Linked DNA regions of Caenorhabditis elegans. The protein of the gene in region 1 interacts with the protein of each later gene in a pairwise test. Each region holds a gene or a part of one and is shown in the gene's direction. Other genes may lie near its edges.

Region 1 (4,280 bases):
AAATGTAAAAAACCACAATTTGCCGAAAATTTTTGGCATTTGCCGTTTTTTCGGCAAACTAGGCAAATCGGCAATTTGCCGGTCTGCCGATTTGCCGGAAGTTTTCAATTCCGGCAAAAATCACCGATTTGTCGAGAAAAAAATCGTTTGCCGCCCACCCCAGTTTCAAATTTTATATTTTATCGTTTTTAGAATTTAAAATCTTAAAATAAAACTACTTCAGCCAAATCCTGGAGTTTCTAAGAAAATTCTGCAAAATGTTTCTCAAATTTAGGCCACTTTTTTACGAGACCGAAAAGTTGTTAATTTGCAACTCCATTAAAAATAAATTCAGGTTTTTTCAGAACAAGATTTTCCAAAATATCTGCCAGAATGTTTGTTGTTTGAATTCTTTCCATCAATTTTTGAAAACCCTCGAACCTTGTAATTTCTTATCTTCTCTCCCAAAATAATTCGTCTATCATGATCATCACATGCTATTGACTCATCTACTTGTTGATATGCTTCTCCCTTTTGCTCTTTAATATTGTCAACTCACACTTCTTTCCCGTTGATTCGACCTGACAACTCAAGCAAATTGGTCCAAACGAAAACCAAAACAAACTACCTCTCTTCCTCTTTTTTTTCCCGCAATACTGAATTACACGAGAAAAGAAGAAGATCTATTGAGCCAGATTTTGATTGATTGAGCACTTGTGTCTTGGGTTTTTCGAGAGCCAATCAAAATCGAATTTCGATGTCATTTTGCTCTTTTGAATTACATCATTCCACGAAATTGTGCCAACTGTCATTTTCCGACAATATCTTGTCAGGTTTTCAGGCCGTTTAAAAAGTGCATTCGAGATAGGAATTTCTTATTTTTCGAGTTTAGATTATTCTAGTACACTTGAATCATTCTAATTATATTTCATTTATTTTTTATTTTCCCTAAATCTTCTAGACCTGAAAATATCAATTAACTCCTTCATACCCCCCCCCCCATTCATTTCTCATGAAGAAAAAAACTTGAAAACCACTACTGGGCTCTTCCGGTGGGCAATAAAAGCATGCTCGCATGTGTCCAACAGCCGAAATTTGTTTTCAATTACTTTTTTTACTACTGTTACTTGCTAGAGTTTCTCAAATCAATCAAAAATGTTTGACCAGCCCTTTTTGATCGTTTATCAAAAAACGTTTTCTATCAGTTGATAAGCTTGTTTATGTTTGAAGTTGCCCAATTTTTAACAAAATCAGTACTCTCTGGGATTGAATAAACCTTCTATATTTTTTTTTTTCAGTTCCCAATCATTTTGACTAAACTTTAAATATGTGTAGATCAGAGGTAGGCGGCGAATTGCCGGAATTGAAATTTCCGGCAAATCGGCAAGCCGATAAAATGCCGATTTGTCGAATTTGTCGGAAAAACGGCAATTGCCCAATATTTTCGGCAAATTTGGGTTTTGGACTTTTTTTTTGAAAATTTCAGAATTTCAATTTCAATCGGCAAAATTGTACGTGTTTTAAGTGTTTCCGGCAAATCTGATATCCGGCAAAAGACAATTCGGCAATTTGCAGGAGTTGAAATTTTCCGGCAAATCGGCAATTCGCCATTTGCCGATTTACCAAATTTGTCGGCAAAAAATTTGCAAACGGCAATTGCCTCCCCTGGTGTAGATATAAGCTCTTAAACTTGCAACTCAATTGAAGACATTCCATTTTAGGATGATTGTTCGGATCTCCTTATTGGCCAGTTTACTGGTCATCTCAACCATCGCATTTGAATGCTCCCCTGATACAATTCTCCGTATGGCTACCAACAAACGAGAGAAGCAGCTGGAACGAGAATGCCACGAACAAAAAACTTCGCAAGCTGTCTGCGAGACCAAGGAGGAGCTAGAAAAGAGCTGGAAGGACTTCCAAAAGGTTTCCAATGAGTATAAGGAGGCTGTGACTGCTTGCAGAAAGTATGTCGAGGAGAAGAGCAGGCCGAAGAGTTAGTTTTTAGTATTTCAGGCATAAAAAAACCAACAAAAAAATAATCTGTCATTTTTTCAGGAACAGTTCTCGATGGTGACATGGGAGAACCTACTGAGGATCAAGAGGACACTAATGATCATGCAAGAAGAAGAAGACATCACAATCATGAGGGTCATCATGGCAATGATATGAAGCATCGGGAAAATATGGATCGTAAGAAGCACGGAACACATGTTGATCATCATGGAAGAGTCCGAAGGAATGGAGATCACGATCCGAATGATCCTAATGTTGATCATACTGGCCATAACCATAGAGTAAAGAGAAGTATCGATGGTAAAAGATTTTTATTATTTATTGAAGTTCAACCTGTTCAGTTACAGATGACCCAAGTGACACTACCATCGACCACACTAGACACAATCATAGACGCAAGAGAAACCAAGATGGTAAGGAAATTTTTAAAGATCAGGCAATGCCAAGAGCATCATAGTTCATACTAAGTCAGAGCAAGACTTCGTTAACAAAAATTTCGATACCTAAACAAAATCTATTTTCAGATGATCCGACTGACACAACCATCGACCACACTGGACACAATCACCGCCGTCGTAGATCGGATGATCATGATCCAAACGATCCCAATGTAGATCACACAGGGCATAATCATAGACGCAAGAGAAACCATGATGGTAAGGCTTTCTGTACCTCCACCTCGAAAATTTGAATTTCCATCTACCCTTACCTGCAGTCTTAACCTTGATTTCCTGTTAGATAGTTTTTTAAGTCCTTTAGCATTTGACAAGCTACGATTTATTATTCTGTGGATTTTCAGATGACCCAAGTGACACTACCATTGATCACACCGGTCATAACCACCGCCGTCGCAGATCTGATGATCATGACCCAAACGATCCAAATGTAGATCACATTGGGCATAACCACCATAGACGCAAGAGAAACCATGATGGTTGGTGCTGAATGAGAACTTCACCTTAAAAAATTCTTATTTTTAGATGACCCAAGTGACACTACCATTGATCACACCGGGCATAACCACCGTCGTCGTAGATCAGAGGATCATGATCCGAATGATCCGAATGTTGATCACACTGGACATAATCATAGACGTAGGAGAGATCAGGATGGTGAGCCATTGTGGTGTAGGTGTTCGTCGACAAAGTAAATTAATTTCAGATGACCCGAGTGACACTACCATCGACCACACTGGACACAATCATCGTCGTCGTAGATCTGATGATCATGATCCAAATGACCCAAATGTTGACCATACTGGACACAATCACAAGAGGCGACATGGTAATACATTTTTCATTAATTTATCAAATTTAAGAGCCAAATTTCAGTGATTGCTTCTCGCTCCCGCCGTACTGTCTGCTCTACAGCTGGCCATGATCAGCTCTCCGCGATGAGCTCAAAGTTCACAAAGCATTGTGAACGCGAAAATATGTAATTATTTCTGGTTTCTTCTTTCTTTCTCACAATTGGCTTCCTTTTCAGCTGTTTACCAGACGAAGATCTTCCAAAGGGAAAACAACAGGACGATATTCTTGCTCTTCAGAAGCTCCGCGCCAAGAAATACTCGGAATATTTGACTCAAGTATCCAAGTGCTACGGAAAGCTGTAACCATATGGAAATGAATAATTTCATTCGAATTTCTTGTAGAAAGAACAAAATAGCTAAATTTGTGCACAATCTGTGAGCATTATTCGTGTCTATATGCTTACCTACTAAATGCTTCAAAACTTTGTGTTTGTGTTTCGGTGTGGAATTGAATAATTGAATAAAATTTTTAATTTCTGTATATTTTTGAAGGATATTAATAATCGGTTATAACAATAAATAAATAGATCACATCAAATTAACTCGAAATTCCAAATAAATAGATTTGAACTTCCCCGGTTTTGGAACACTGCAATCGCGCCCCATTGCTAAATAATTCTTATTTTTATTTTCGAACATTCAGCGGTTTTCTCCATTTTATTTTGTGAATTTACTTTGTTTTTTAGCGAGAAATAAATTATAAAACCGATAAATTTACTAAAAATTTTAGTGAATTGTATAAAATGGCATATTCGGGTTCATATCCCTGGAATAACAACTATTACAGCCACGGGCAGAGTTCTGGAAATGACTCTTGGGCTCCATCGGCCCAATCTCAAGAGGTTTTAATTAATCTTCCGAAAAACAATTTCTATTATTTGAATTTTCAGCAGTATAATCCAGTTTATCCATCACTCAGTGGGACACCAAACTTTTTCTCATCTTCTGCCCAGGTGAATATTTTAATATTTTACCAATA
Region 2 (7,798 bases), on another chromosome or scaffold:
CCGCGCCTGCTTACCATGATGTTCCGTTCTTGTCGATGCACCATGATAATTTTGGGTTACATTTTGAGCCTTTTCGAAAAATTAATGGTGGAAAATTTCAAGCTGAATTTTAATATTTATTTTTTTAACCGTATTGTGGGACATGCAAATGTCTTTCATTTTGTGTCCCTTCACTCTAACGTCTTCAGAATTTTCGAACTTCTCGATGCACCATAATGCTGTTTGGCGATAACTTTAGAGTAAGAATGGTAGCGATTTTTGCGATGCACCATGACGTTTTTATCGATTTTCAGAAAAAAAATCACTCCGAGACCCAAATAGTTTCATTCTCGACGCACTATAACGTTTTCGAAGTAAATTTCAAAATTGCTTCTCGGAAAAGTTTTTTGAGACCTACATGCACCTTTAATCTTCTTTGGAAACTTTGGAATTTCCGCCGAATACTCTCATTTCAGTTGTTCTCGATGCACCATGATGGTATTTTTTTCAAATTACTTTTTTTTGATTTTTCCATGAGAGGACCAATATCTGTCTTTATAACGGCGCATTCTGTAACCAAATTTTGAAATTCCACGACATTCTGCTCTCATCGATTCAACATGATAATTTTAAAATGAAATTTAGCGATTTTTCGGGAAAAAAACAGTTTCGAGATTTTCTAGTTATTGGACACTCTGCACCTTGCTTATTTGGAAATTACATTTTAAACCGACAACCCTTCAAAAACTGCTTTTCGTCGATGCACTATGAGTGCATAATTTTGTGTAAATCGTGGTGGGCCTCTAAAAAAACCGAAAAAAAAAACGTATAAAACGCAAACAAATTGTTTTTGTTGTAATGTTGACACCAACAGATTCGGCGTGGAATATACGGAAGATCGGATTTCCAAAAAAACAACCGCTCTCCTGTTTTCGACGTTCCGCCGCTTTTTATGGGAGAAGTAGTATGTACCTTTAAGGGTACTGTAGCCCCTTGAATATTGGCCTAAAAGTGAAACTAGTGTTGCCAAAAAAAAACGAGATGACCAGTTTCAATATGTCATTTACATCTACACATTTCTAAAATCTCATTTTAAATTCCATTGTTTTCTCGTTTCTTCTGTCCCAAAGTACCGTATCCTCATCCTTCTACCACCTTAATTTGCATTTCTTCTTCCTTATTCACTCTTCTTCCCCTGGACGAAAAATGTTGCACGACAACAACAAAAGAGACCCGCCCCCCACCATCGGTTTCTCTGAACCTCTAACTGTCCCCGCCCCCTTTTGGGAGCCCACTGTCTTTTCTTTTTTTCTTTGGTCGCTGATTATGACGGATCGTTTTTGTCGTTTTTGTATTACAGGAATACAAATTTCCCAAAACGCGTATTGCACAACATATTTGACGTGCAAAATATCTAGTAGCGAAAACTATAGTAACTCTTTAAATGACTTTTGTAGCACTGATGCCGATTTAATTAAATTATTTATTAACAGATAAAATATTAAAAGAAAACACGACAATTCAAAAAAATTCATTTCGTAAATCGAGCCCGTAAATCGACACAAGCGCTACAGTAGTCATTTAAAGAATTACTGTTTTTTCGCTACGAGATATTTTGTGCGTCAAATATGTTGCGCAATACGCATTCTTATAATTTTGTGTACCCGTAGTATATTTTTGTCTCTCTGATTTCCATTGCAATTTTTTAATTCCATATTTTTTTGGTGACAAATTTCTCCGCTTATCAATTTTTTTTTCAACCACATAATTATTAACCCCAAAACATCGCAGATTTTCAGGTAAAATGCCAGTCGTGAGCGTTAGACCTTTTTCTATGAGAAATGGTGAGCAATTTTTTTGAAGTTTTTTTTTGAAATTTTTAATTTTTCCAGAAGGCTTCTCAAACGGGCATAACACGTGGAACGACGCCGAATTTTGGAAACCGTGAGTTTTCGGCAAATAAGCTAACAGTCTAAGAAACACGAAAAAAAATCCAATTTTCTTTTCAAAATTCGTGATTTTCGGATGATTTTTGAACTTTTTGATTAATGTTCCCACTGAAAATCCTCCAAATCTCTAAAAATCCGCTTCTAAAAAAGCCTCAAATGGCCTTGCGAGAATAGACGGAATGTTCAAGGATGACTGGTATAAAATCGGCAAACGTGTTGCCATTCAAACAGAATATCTCGAAATTTCGCCTTCCTTTTTTTTAAGTGGGTCGGATATTTAACATACAGAAGAGAATAGGGAGAGAAAAGAGGGAAAAGAGGGGAAAAGTCTTCTTGGAAACAACCTCGAACCGCAATTAAGTTTTTGCCTCACCCTTCAATTTTCGTGAGAAAGTTAAAAATCCAAATTTTTTTCTCCTTTTTTAAAAAAAGATTTCCTCCTCAAAAATTCAAAGGATCGAATTTTTTGTTACACGCCTGCCTCCTTTTTATTACCCTTGTTCTTGATCGCAACCTCTTTTCTAGATTACTTGAAAAAATGCGCTATTTTTTTTCCTTTTTCAACAGAGTCAATTTCAAAGGTGCTGTGGAAAAAGTTTCGGTTTTTTTTTGCAAAAATAATCGAAATTTGTTCGTTTATACTGCTTAAAAAATGACCAAAATTTCAAGTAATTCATTCGAAAAATCGATTTTTTTGAAATATACAAAAATTTTCAATTTTTCATATCTGAAAACACAATTTTTTCGATTTTTCATTTTTCTTGGAAAAAACACAAAAAAAAACTGTATTTAATTTCCCACTTAATACTACGATATCCAAGCCCCGCCTCCGCGTATTGTACGTGAACACGGCGGCCCAAAATTACACACTATCTCACACACGTTAAATGAGTGATACCGTACTCTCTCTGTTTTTTCTTTCATTTTTTCGGCGCCGAAAATTTTCAATTTTTGGTGGTTCTTTTGGCGGGATTTTTCGGATTTTTGTCGCGTTCACACACACACACCAGTTGGTGTTGCCTGTCGTCACCCACCCGCCCCACTCTTTGTCCGTGTACTGCTTTGCCATTTGTGCGCGCGTACCGCTGCCCGTCTGTCTTTCTCATCATATGCGCCTCGTTTTGTCGCTTTTTCTCCATTTGCCCTTCCTACATGGGTACCTGCGGTTTTCATCGAAAATATCCTTAAAAATTCCGAAAAACCTCTATTTTTCGATTTTTGAATCGATTTTCGCCCAAACATAACCATTTTTCAGAATGAAGGAAGAACAAATCGCCTATAAATTGCCAGGGGCTTGGTATTACGAGGAGGACACTGCCTCGTGCTCTCCAGTCAGCGATCCGGAGGATATTGCGCAGTTTCTCAACTACAGAACGTCGATAGGCGTGCAAAATGTCACAGAGTCCGTGGAAGTTCCGACGTCGGAGCATGTCGCCGAGATTGTTGGTCGTCAAGGTAAAAATTGCCTTTTTAGTCAAATCTACAGTTTCCACAAATTTTCAGGCTGCAAAATTAAGGCACTGCGCGCCAAGACCAACACCTACATCAAGACACCGGTTCGCGGAGAAGATCCAATTTTCGTGGTCACCGGACGCCTGGAGGACGTGAACGAGGCGAAACGAGAGATCGACTGCGCCGCCGAGCACTTCACACAGATCCGTGCGTCGAGAAGACATACACAAGGTAGGTGACCGTAGGCAGCCGGTTCCTGAGCGCCTTGTTCAGTTGTTCCAGGAGCCCATGCACCTGGACAGATCACGAGCTATGTCAGAGTTCCGTTAAGAGTTGTCGGACTCGTCGTCGGACCGAAAGGAGCGACTATCAAGCGAATTCAACAGGACACCCACACGTACATCATTACGCCGAGCCGAGAAAGGGAGCCCGTTTTTGAGGTAATTTTGTTGGAGAGCATAGAGTTTTGGAGCAAAATTCTCAGCAATTTCATGCTTTTTAACAAAAACAGAGAAGTTTCTAGTTTCGGCTTAGAAAATACTGAAAATCGGCTTTTCCATGGCATATATCGTGCTGAAAATCTACTTTTGACTGAAAAATTCAAGTTTATGACTAAGAAAAGTTAGATAATTAGACCATGCTATTATTTCATAATATTGGTCCAATTTTTGTTGCTTTGCTGAAAATTAACAAAATTTAAAAATCGGCGGGGTTTCTGAAATATTTCTGTATAAAAACCGATTTCAACTCCAATTTTCCTCGATTTTTACATATAAGTAATCTAGAAAAATTGTAAAATGGGGAGAATTCATAAGAAAATCGGCTGTTTTGTAGCAAAGTTTGTAAATATATCATTCTGAAAGTCTCAGCGATAACCGTGATTCTAGAAAACCTCATCAGGATTTGATTTCTGCGACACACTTCTCTCGAGTTTTACATAGAAGTTGTTCATTACAAATTTCTATTTTTAAGGTCCCCATTACCATTGTCAATCTTTCATTCCGATTATTTGTTTTTCCTCGTCACTGCAAGAAGGGGAGCCTAATGCCTAGACAGAGACAGAAAACACATGTGTGTTTGTAAGTGTCTGGTGTGATATACCCAATTCTTTTCGGCCGTCTCTTGTTTTCTTCCTGACACCGAGTTTCGAGCGATTTTCGAGGTCGTACAGTTGTGAATTGGCTGCCACTGCTGTGGCAAACAAACAAAAACAATCAAACTTGTGCGGAATTGATATTCTAAAGAGAATAAAGAGCAACCATGGGCGCCGAAACGAGCAGCGGAAGGGCTTGTGACCTCTTGGTGTGAATTTTAAACGGTTTCCTTCCATCCGAAATGCTAAAAATTCCTCGGGAGCCGTTTAGGGTCTTCACTGAGAGATGATGATTAGAATCTTTTAATTTGGTAGAATTCCCCCCGCGGGACCGATTAATGTTGCATGTCGTCTTCTTCTTCTTGGCAGCAAAATATCATTGTTGATGAGATATCTCAGTTTGATGCTCAATGACGCCTTGAGAAACATCCAGCACACAGTAGATTAGTCGAATTACCGATGGATGGGGCCGCCCGGGTTTTTGGAGCCAAGAGTCACGCGATGGGGAGTCCACATACACACGCACCAACTCTTTCATTCCATCTAACAGGGTAGTAGGGTGAAGAAAAGGGGGGGGATCGCGATGACAAAGAGACTCAATTAATTAAATGACCGGGGCGGGCGCCAAATTGCACATATGCTTGGTTTTATTGCACCGTTGGCTCAGGGAGAGCAACATTTTGTGGCAGCACCAGGGGTACTTCAAAATGACGAACAAAGGTCGTTGTTGTTTCTATAGGAAGGCTTCCGAACTTTTGAACAGTAATCAGATCATATTAGGGTTATGTAATTGACGGTTTTGACCGTATGTGTCTATAGATGCGTGTGTGTGTGTGTGTGTGGCGACATAAATTACCGTATCCGCATGGCCTTTTTCCTCCTTCCTCACAATGGTAATTATCATCCCCCACTACTCTGGGTCGCCGGACGAACTGTGAATGTGTTGACAGTGCGGGCCCACTAGTACATGACATCTTGCCCCGGTGCGGTGCGCTCATCGTTATTCCTCCCAATTTAGTTGTCCGTTTGACACAAATGCCTCCGGTACCCTGGACGAGACAAGGAGGTGATGGATTTGCCAGGCGGGGAAGGAATTACATGATGTTTGGGAGAATATGAGGGAAAGGTACAGAAGCTTCACCTCGGATATTATATGCGTTCTAAAAAGACCAATTGTCGTTTTTGTTCGTGGCTCAAATGAATAATTGGTATGGAAATATAGAAAAATGTCCGACTAGTTTGGTAATAGAATTGTTTCGTTTTGAACATTTCAAAAATACCTCAAATAGTGCACTTGAGATCTTTGTTGAATTTTCAAAGGTTTTATTTTCAGATAAATTGAGCATTTTCCATACTTATAAAATCAATTTTTGGTTCAAAAACTTCTAATTTTCTCACCGAAAAAGTTCTCACAAGACAGTGACAGAGGTCGCGTGTCGTTTTGATATCCATCTCGATAATCAGAGATTGTGATCTATGCCTCAATGACACAGTTCCGCGAAGGAGTCCGAGAAAAACGTACAAAATTGGGGAAAAATATTGGAAATAACATTTATTGAAAAATTAAAAAAAAAACATAAACTATTTAAATTCACAAAAATTCGGAAGCATATTTCCTATAATGAAAACAAAAAATTCTGAAAATGTGTACTGCACAACATATTTGACGCGCATAATCTCTTGTAGCAAAAACTACAGTAATTCATAAAATTGACTACTGTAGCGCTTGTTTTGAGTTACGTGCTCTACGAAATGAATTTAAATAATTTATCGATGGAAAAATAATTTTAAGCAGAAAATGAGAAAATAATATGAAGAAACAAAAAGAAATTCGAGTTACGTGCTCTAAGAAATGAATTTAAAAAATTTATCGATGGAAAAATATTTTTAAGAAGAAAATGAGAAAATAATATGAAGAAACGAAAAGAAATTCATTCGAAAATCGAGCGCGTAAATCCAGAGCTACAGTAATCAGTGAAAGAATTACTGTAGTTTTCGCTACTAGATATTTAGTGCGTCAAATATGTTGCGCAATACACATTTCTGGAATTTTGTGTTTCCGTAATAAAATAAGTTTTTTGCGAGAACTACAAAAATATAACTATTTCTATTCCAGGTGACCGGCCTCCCACATAACGTCGAGGCTGCCCGCAAGGAGATCGAGACGCACATCTTCCAGCGAACCGGAAATCTTCCAGAAACCGACAATGACTTTGCCGGACAGTTGGCCGGTGTCTCGTTGATGGTGCAGAAGCAGCAACAGGCTCAACAACAAATGCAGGAGGCTCAGCAACAATCGATGTTCTATCGAAGAGCATTCGGCAACAGTAATCCGTTCAATCAGAAGGAGATGTCGTCGTCGCCATTCGGAATGGAGAGCTCGTTGGGATTGGACGCGTTGCTCCGCAGTTTCCCATCGATGCGTAGTTCGTTGACTCCGGAATCTCTTTCCGGTACTGGACTGTCTTCTCGTCCATCGTTGGGAGGAGGACAATCGGCGAAACAAGATCTGCCAACCTACGACTACTGGGGAACCAACAACTCGCTTAATGATATTATGGAGAACGGTAAGCTTTTTTTGCGAATTTTAATAAGAATTTTAAATGACAAATAAGGATTTTTCAGAAATTCTCAGCCGCAAGTACGATGCCCTGTCCGCATGGTCGTCGATGGGATTGGAGAAACGCGAGGAATCCCCAACCAATGGGTATATATTTTTGAAGGAATTTTATAAATTTTTGAAATAAAACTAAAAATTGCAATTTTCCTTCAAAGTTCTAAATTTTTGAAAGAAAATTTGATTTTCCGCTAAAAAATTTAAAAAAAAAACAAGTTTTCGTGTTTTCCACTCGGAACCTGACGGCTTCTTATCAATTTTTTAAATAAAAAATAACGTTTCTAAAACTCAGAATGTTTAAAAAATTTCACATTAAAAAATTATTTTTCCGAAATCTTGAACCTATCCGTTTTTGAAAATAAAAAAGAGTAAAATCGTAGTTTTCTCTATAAAAATTATAATTTTCATTTGAAATTCAAAAATTTTTAAATAAAATTGGATTTTGTCCGTCAGAAATCTATAAAAAGAAAATTTTTTTTGAACAATAAAAGAAAAATTGTAATTTTCTTTTGAACTTCAAAAAAATATGTTTTTTTTCACATGCAAAAAATTGATTTTTTCAAAACCTCGTTTTTGAGAGAAAAAGGTGAAATTCCAATTTTAAGAGGTAAAGTTAAATTTATTTATTTTATGAGAAAAACTTGAAATTTAAAGGAAAATTACTGAAATTTACAATTTATCATACATATTTTTTAATTTCGACATATC
Region 3 (7,699 bases), on another chromosome or scaffold:
CGTTTCTTTACTTAGTTTTCTTTCTATTTTTTTAATGGTTGCCACACAATTTTTGTTATATTTTCTCCGGATGTTTTCCACTGGCTTCCAGCCCGTTGCGCACTTTCATTCCGGCTCGTTTATTTTTGTAGACATCGTCAGTTTCTTGACATTTCTTATTCTTAAAAGTTCAAAGTTTATTGGAACTTGAAAAAAATCAGAGTTTGAATTTTAAAAATTTTTTTCAGCATATTTTTTGCAAGTTTAGAGATTTTAAATTCCAAAATTGATTTTTGCAGAATTTTTTTGACAGTTTTTTTTAAACTGAAAATGTAGTACTCAAATCAATAGTAGCCAAAGCAATAAAAAAGGCTTGAAAATATATTCCCACCTGAAACAATTTGCGCTCGGAAAATTTAAATTCAGCCAATTTCAGCAACCTTCGTCAATTTAAGAACACCCTCCAGTATAGAAGCTGGGTTTTTTATTTGCAAACTTATCTAGAATGCTGAAAGAAAACTCGAAAAGTATTGCTATTTGTTCCAGATTTTTCCATATTTTTCACACTCATTTCCCAAAAGCTTCTGGCTCCAAGTAAATATTTTTCCAATTTTTTGCCAGTCCGTAAATATATCTATAGCCTCCCTCGTCGTCATGTTTACATGCTCAATTCCATCCTCATTTCTCATTATTTCCTTCATTCATTCTAAAAAATCTTTTCTTAGAATGGACACTTTTAATTTTATATCTGTAAAAATAAATATGTGAAAAGAAAAGTGAGGAAAAAAACAAAGATTGAGAGCCCCCGTTCTGTGATGATTGATGAATGTCGGGTGTTTGAGAATTTTTCATCAAAAACATACTTTCCTTCATCTCTGATTTTTTTTTGGATTTTAAGGATATGTAGAACATTTTGTTTTCCTAATATTTCAAAATAAGATTTAGTTGAAAAATAAATTCAAACATCAAACCTTATTGGCCGACACCCTCACGGTCAAATTTGCCTATCTGATACCCTGAAGTTTGAGCTTATTTTTTTTTGGTTAAATTTTTTGGGCCAAAAAATCGGTGGTCCAATTTCGTGACTTCAAAAAAAGTATTCAAAAATACTAATTTTTTGGATCAATGTAGAGCGCATTTGCACTGATGTACCGTAAAATATGGCGAATTGATAATTGAATTCAAAAATGGTTCGGCTGTGCGGTTCAGATAGGGCGAGTAGAAAGGCGAATAAGAGGTGCCTTCCTACGTCTAGGAACACCTCGTATCTGTGATCTAACTTTAAATTTTTATCCCCAGAATTATTTGCGAAATTTCTGATTTTTGCGACAATTCTAATTCAATAATTGATTTGATTATATCGAGTCTAGACTCTCTATACTTTTTGGCACCTTTTCCCTTTTAATCTCCTTTTTTCTTCCACTTTCCTCTTGCCTCCGCTCTGAATCCGAATTTCGCTTTTCCTTCTTCACACAAATGAACGCAATCCAATTAGTCCTCATCCAACCACCCCGTCCGGTGCCCAAAAACCTGATCCTTATCACAGTTATCACCCGGGAGACGAAAAAGAATATAATTATGAATAAATAGATATTTTCACTTTCCCGTAAATCCTTCTGTCATTCCTCTTCTTCTTCTTTTCTCCAAGCCTCGGAAATATTCTAATCAATTCTGAAATTGAAAATCTCTTCAGAAAAGAAGACGTCGCCGGGACAACAACAACAGCAAGTGGGCGGTGCATGCGTCGTGCGCACCGCTGCTGATAACAAAATAGTGTGCGAGACGGTGAGTCGCAGACAAATCTCACGGGGGAATATCATTTCAGGTCATTCCAACCGGAGAAGACATGCGCGCAAAACGGTCCTTTATTGTTAAGGTTATGCAATATCCTCGGATATTGACACCCTTTCCCGTACCGCCCGTTCGCTCCTCAGTTCCCCTAAACTGATACGAATTATATCCGCTCCCCAACCTTTCCACCTTTTGAAAAATTCAATTTTACAGCTGCCTAATTCAATCCAAACAGCCGAGATGACAACGGCTTCCGAGCTGCTGTCAGACGACGCAAGAGCTCGATTCTCACATACAAAGGCTCTTTTTGAGCAGCTTGAGAGACAGCAAGACGTGAGTTTTTTTTGGATGATAATAATTGGTTTCCGAATTTTGAAATCATTTTGCTATTTTGCATTACGGTTATTTATTTTTCTTGAAAAAACTCACTAAATTGTGGATTAGAGCATATATTCCAGAATTTTTATGCAATTTTTCGCAAAATGATTTTCCTGGCTATATAGATCAAATCTGTAGCTCCCTATGAACAAGTTTTGCCTGCTAGTAGATTCTTCACTTAGGCCTTCAAAGAATAAGTCCCCTCTCTTGATTTGATCTATGAAAATTGCTGGAATTTTGCTCACAGGAAAAGTGAAAAAGTATGACGTCCCCGCTCTTTAGATCACCAGCTGAAAAGTCTGCGTCTAAATTTGGCGAAGTTTTCGGAGATCATTCGGAAAAGAGATACTCTGACTACCAGTTTCTGTATCACTTCACAGCCTCACGTTTAAGAAATTTGACGTCACGTCTGAAAAATGTCTGAAAAAGAGGTTTCCCTATGATCAAGTTTTGCTCAACAATTATTAATTTGGGTCAAAAGTTGGAAACACTGTCGACTTGATTTAGACTTCTACCATATTTATAACTCAAGTTTTGTTAAACACAGCTTAAACCCAGTATTTTCAAAGTCTTGCCCAAATTTTGCCAACTTCTGAGCTAATAGTAAGCTAACTTTTTCAAACATCAGATGCCCGCCACGCTTTTTCCAAAACAAACTCTAAATTGGGCAAGCAGACTACTGTAGTGTCAATTAAAAAATAATGTTTCTAGGTTCCATCATTCTACTCTCCACGTCTTCAACGTCAACCACCACCTCCATTACCCCCAAAACCTCCATCTCAATGTCCGCCGAGTCCGATGTCACAGGTATGTGTGATCAAACAATCACATGGCTCTCTTTCTCTCTCTCTCCTTCTCTTTCTGTTTTCTGGAAAAAGAAATGGAATTTAAAAATTCAAAGACTGTGTCAGTTAGTCAATGTTTTGTGTCTCCAACACCCCCGTCTCTGTTATACTGTTCGGTTGACTAATCCGCTCATCGATAATAGATTCAAAAATAATGGCATTTACTCATATCACACACACACTCCTTTCCCCCATCAGACACACACGCATATAACACATAATCGAAAACTCGAAAACTTTTCCAGGTCGAACGAAATTTCTCTGATTTGGCCGCGGATCTCGATCGGATCCAATCATCGCCGGCAACGTCTAGGTTTATACAAAATAAGTGAGTTGTTTTTTTAAGGATTTGTTACCATACCATAACTTTTTTTTAATTCTCAAAAAAATGTAACTGTAATTTTTTTTGATCAATCGCAATTTTCTCCATTCGGTTCGCGGGCCAAAGTATTTTAATTTTTTTTGGTAGTTACAAAAAGTCGCCTGCAACTAGATTTCAGAAATTCTAGGAAACTGTGCGAAATTCAGATAAATTAGTTGAGAATTTTTTTAAAGGAACTTTTTTGAATTTTCAAATCGAAAAAAAAACCAAAATCTCTGTTTTTTCTTTAATTTCAACTAACATTCTTCTTTGCTTCATTATCAGCTTCGCATGCCTTTTCTTTTTCCAATTCAGATCATCAACTCTTCCGTCATCATATTCCGATTCCACACAGCAGTATTCGTTCGAAAATACGGTTGCCACGTCGCAATATGGAGGACTTCAAACCAACAACAATAATAATAATATTAATATGAATTCATTTGAACCCTATTGGAGAAATGGATCAATATATCGGAGGCAATTCGAAGGAAATGGCAAACCGTATGTGTTTCGCTTCTTTTATTTTTCTTACTTTCTCGCATGAGTTTCTTTATTTTTCTCTATAATAGTTTTTTTTCTTGCGCTGAAGTATTTTAGTTGCGACTAACAAATATTTGTGTTTTTTCGAAAAAAAATGTGGCCTAGAAAAAACCAGAAACTTGGCCAGCATATTTTCTTAGATTTCTCATTCGGGATTTTTTTTGAATTTGCTAAAAAAAAGATCCTTGTGACTTTTCCAAAGTACAAAACTAAAAGTAAAATTTTTGATTCATTCAGGAACACGGTCTTCTTTGGATCTTTCAGAATAGTGATGGCACATAATATCTTGAAATTTTCGAATTTTTCAATTTGAAAAATCTATTAAGATTACAGAAATTGCTAAAATAGCGTGGCCGAGTTTTCTCACATATCGGCTCGTTGGAACCGTAAAAACCCTTTTCAAGCCCATTGTTGGCAAGCTTATGAAGGATCTATCGTAACCTTAAGTTTTTAAAAAACCGCACTGTGTTTGTGATAAAAATTCATTTAGTGTGTCTAGATATATTTTTAGAACGCCGATTTTTTATCGGACATTCACATTTTTTAAAATTTAAAAATTTGATACGATTTGCGCCAGATTGTTTTTTTAGTAAATTTAATATATGCAGGCACCTGAAAAAACCAATCATTTCATGAAAATGAGTTGCTGTTAATATAAATAATCAAATTTCTTCGATCAAAACTTTTTTTTCAGTTTTGGCGAGGAAAACGATGGAATCTCACCAACGACGAATGGAGTGAAGCACACGACATACGCCGTCGTCAAAACACCAAAGGAAACAGAACTTGAAACAACATCAGAAAACAGAGGACTCATGGAAACACGGAGGGGTCTGAGTCCAGAGAGGCCTGACGTGGATTTAACGAATCGAAAGGTCTCGTTCAGCACTGCACCTATTCCGGTAAGATCACCCACTTTTCCCATTCACTCATGTTTCTTTGTTGTTGCAAGTTTGCTCTATGGAATGTATGATGTTCAAAATAATTTTATACTTTTTCTAGGCCAAGACAGATTGAAACGTGGCCGAGAAAAATCTTTTTGAAACTATCAATAGAGCAAACATGCATTCACTGAAACTTGACCACCACAACCTAACATTTCCTTTTGTTTACATATATGTGGCAAGGTGATATTAATTCATTAATAGATATATCTATACAATCTCGAATTAGGTCACCTTATTGATATGATAAGAGATGAGGAACAAGAGAAAAAGAGAAAGAGAAAGCGATCTTCATTTGCATAATATCTAAACGTTTTCACTTTCAGGTCTTCTCGGCGTTTTCCGTTGAAGACTACGATCGCAAGAATGAAGACATTGATCCGGTGGCAAGTTGTGCTGAATATGAATTGGAGAGACGACTTGAAAGAATGGATTTGTTTGAAGTTGATTTGGAAAAGGGTGCCGAGGGACTTGGAGTCTCTATTATTGGTTAGTGATTGTATTGTGGCTTACCATAACTTAGAAGCCTTGTATCTCGGTTACAATCGGATGTTGCTCACAGTTTCTGTTTCATTTTTATAGTTGGAAACTTTCTTTTCTCGGCATAACCAAAGATAACCGAGATATAAGCGCTTAATTAAACTTGAAGGAATGTCAACCTGAAGCTACTGTTTAGGAAAAAATTATATGCTTTCTGCCTGCCTACGGTTTTCGGATAAATTCGTTATGTTTCAGGTATGGGTGTTGGTGCAGACTCGGGTCTTGAAAAGCTGGGAATCTTTGTAAAGAGCATCACACCTGGCGGAGCTGTTCATCGAGATGGACGAATTCGTGTCTGCGATCAAATTGTTTCAGTCGATGGAAAGAGTTTGGTCGGTGTCTCACAGTTGTATGCTGCAAACACGTTGAGATCCACCAGCAATCGAGTCACTTTCACAATTGGTTGGTTTTTTTTGGAGTATTGTGCCGAACGCGTATGATATATTGCATTGATGACTCCGTGAAATAACACAAATATTTTTGTGTGCAACAGCGACTCAATACACCATATTCCGCGCAAGCGTAGAGAAAAAAAGCATCTAGAAAATATTTCAATTATGTTTACCAGTTATCTTCCAATTTAAAAAAAATGTATTGCAGGTCGCGAACAAAACCTTGAAGAATCCGAAGTTGCTCAGCTAATTCAACAAAGTCTTGAACACGACAGAATGAGAATGATGGGAGACGAGGAAGACGATATCGAAGAGCCGCCACCACCACCATCTCAAATGCCACAGCTACCAATTGAACAGGATCGTCCGACAACTTCAATGATCACAAAAGAAGAAATTGAGATTCGTTCGAAGATTGCTGCTCTTGAACTGGAACTTGATGTTACTCATAAGAAAGCAGAGCAATATCATGAAGTGTTGAGCTCAACGAAATCACATTGTGATCAACTGGAAAAGCAGAATGAGCAGGCAAATTATATGATTAAAAACTATCAGGAAAGAGAAAAAGAGTTGTTGAATCGAGAAGAGAATCATGTGGAACAATTGAGAGATAAGGATGTACATTATGCATCATTAGTTCGTCAATTGAAAGAACGAATTGATGAGTTGGAATCGAAATTGGAAGAAGCTGAAGAGAGAAGGCATTCTATTCAGAATCTTGAGCTTATCGAGTTGAGAGAGAAGTTAAAGGAGAAAGTTGAGAAGAGGAATGAAGGAATGGCGTATAGACCAGGTGGAGAGCTTCCTCACGAGGATAAGGCTGTTATGGTTAATTTGGAGACTATTGTAAGTTGGAGAAAATATGAAAGAACATTCATCTTCAAACTTCATTCTAAAACAGTTTTCACATAATGCCTAAAATTAAGCTTGAGCGTAGGCCCTATGCCTAAGCCTAAGCCTACGCCTAAGCCTAAGACTAAGACTAAGCCTAAGCCCAAGTAAGAAACTAATTATAACACCCATTTTCATTTCCAGACTCCATCAACCAAAAAAGATGCGGAAGTATCAGTTGGAAGTAGTTGGACAGAAGAGTACTCATCACCATGCGAGTCGCCAGTCCCTCGTATCTCCGAGCCAGCATCTCCGGCTCTTCCACATAAATTGACGCATCGCAAACTTCTGTTCCCACTCCGAAAGAAGTACGCCGAAAACGAGTTCTGGCGTGCCACGTGTCAACCAGTTGGTCTTCAAGCTCTTCATTGGACGGTGGACGATGTTTGTCAGTTGCTCGTTTCAATGGGCTTGGACAAATATGTGCCAGAGTTCACCATTAATAAGATCGATGGAGCCAAGTTCCTCGAGCTCGACGGAAATAAACTGAAGGTGAGTAAGATGTATACGATCCCGGCGCAAGAAAACTCGGGTAGAAAAAAAAAACGCTGCAATTACATAACGAAAAGTTAAACTATTTCGTAGGCACCAAGGTGCTAAAATTTTTTAAACTTTTCGGTTTTTTGGGTAAAACCGAGAAAAAGATTCCTGAAAATTCTGAAATGAATTCAATATTTATGTTACACTCTATTTCATAAAAACAACAGAAATGTCACTTTTCGAGCAAGAGAGACTGAACTTTTGTTTTTGATTTTTCAGTTTCTTGTGCCAAACCCAAAAACCCTTCAGGTCTAGTAGGCACAGTCTGCCTACCTGAAAAGTGCCTAGAATATACAAGGCTTAAAATAGGTGCATTCTATAAACCTTATGTGACGTCAACTTTTTCAAATTTTCCACAATTTTGGGAAATCACACCACTTGAAATTGTTTATCTGAATCAATATTTTTTAGGCAATGGGAATTCAAAATCACTCGGATCGTTCTCTAATTAAAAAGAAAGTAAAAGGAATGAAGAATAAAATTGAAAGAGAACGA

Evidence for each region.
Region 2: the proteins of F40F8.5 (region 1) and mex-3 interact in a two-hybrid assay, tested with the Caenorhabditis elegans proteins (one large-scale study listed by BioGRID).
Region 3: the proteins of F40F8.5 (region 1) and nab-1 interact in a two-hybrid assay, tested with the Caenorhabditis elegans proteins (one large-scale study listed by BioGRID).

What each region holds. Positions count from the first base shown.
Region 1 is NC_003280.10:11,132,349-11,136,628, reverse strand, and holds F40F8.5 (Filaggrin-like), read left to right. Parts: upstream 1-1,700; 5' UTR 1,701-1,701; coding exon 1,702-1,972; intron 1,973-2,034; coding exon 2,035-2,292; intron 2,293-2,339; coding exon 2,340-2,405; intron 2,406-2,516; coding exon 2,517-2,648; intron 2,649-2,791; coding exon 2,792-2,926; intron 2,927-2,972; coding exon 2,973-3,104; intron 3,105-3,153; coding exon 3,154-3,276; intron 3,277-3,323; coding exon 3,324-3,426; intron 3,427-3,477; coding exon 3,478-3,604; 3' UTR 3,605-3,777; downstream 3,778-4,280. Other genes in the region: F40F8.11 (NADAR domain-containing protein), read left to right, coding at 4,045-4,143, 4,192-4,254.
Region 2 is NC_003279.8:125,514-133,311, forward strand, and holds the start of mex-3 (K Homology domain-containing protein), read left to right. Parts: upstream 1-1,771; 5' UTR 1,772-1,783; coding exon 1,784-1,823; intron 1,824-1,871; coding exon 1,872-1,923; intron 1,924-3,183; coding exon 3,184-3,383; intron 3,384-3,431; coding exon 3,432-3,611; intron 3,612-3,653; coding exon of another isoform or gene 3,654-3,662; coding exon 3,663-3,820; intron 3,821-6,589; coding exon 6,590-7,040; intron 7,041-7,098; coding exon 7,099-7,180; intron 7,181-7,798.
Region 3 is NC_003279.8:4,227,905-4,235,603, forward strand, and holds the start of nab-1 (Neurabin-1), read left to right. Parts: upstream 1-1,672; 5' UTR 1,673-1,764; intron 1,765-1,981; exon of another isoform or gene 1,982-1,983; 5' UTR 1,984-2,010; coding exon 2,011-2,103; intron 2,104-2,859; coding exon 2,860-2,955; coding exon of another isoform or gene 2,956-3,039; exon of another isoform or gene 3,040-3,238; coding exon 3,239-3,321; intron 3,322-3,669; coding exon 3,670-3,858; intron 3,859-4,591; coding exon 4,592-4,799; intron 4,800-5,167; coding exon 5,168-5,330; intron 5,331-5,576; coding exon 5,577-5,783; intron 5,784-5,981; coding exon 5,982-6,619; intron 6,620-6,808; coding exon 6,809-7,156; intron 7,157-7,615; coding exon 7,616-7,699.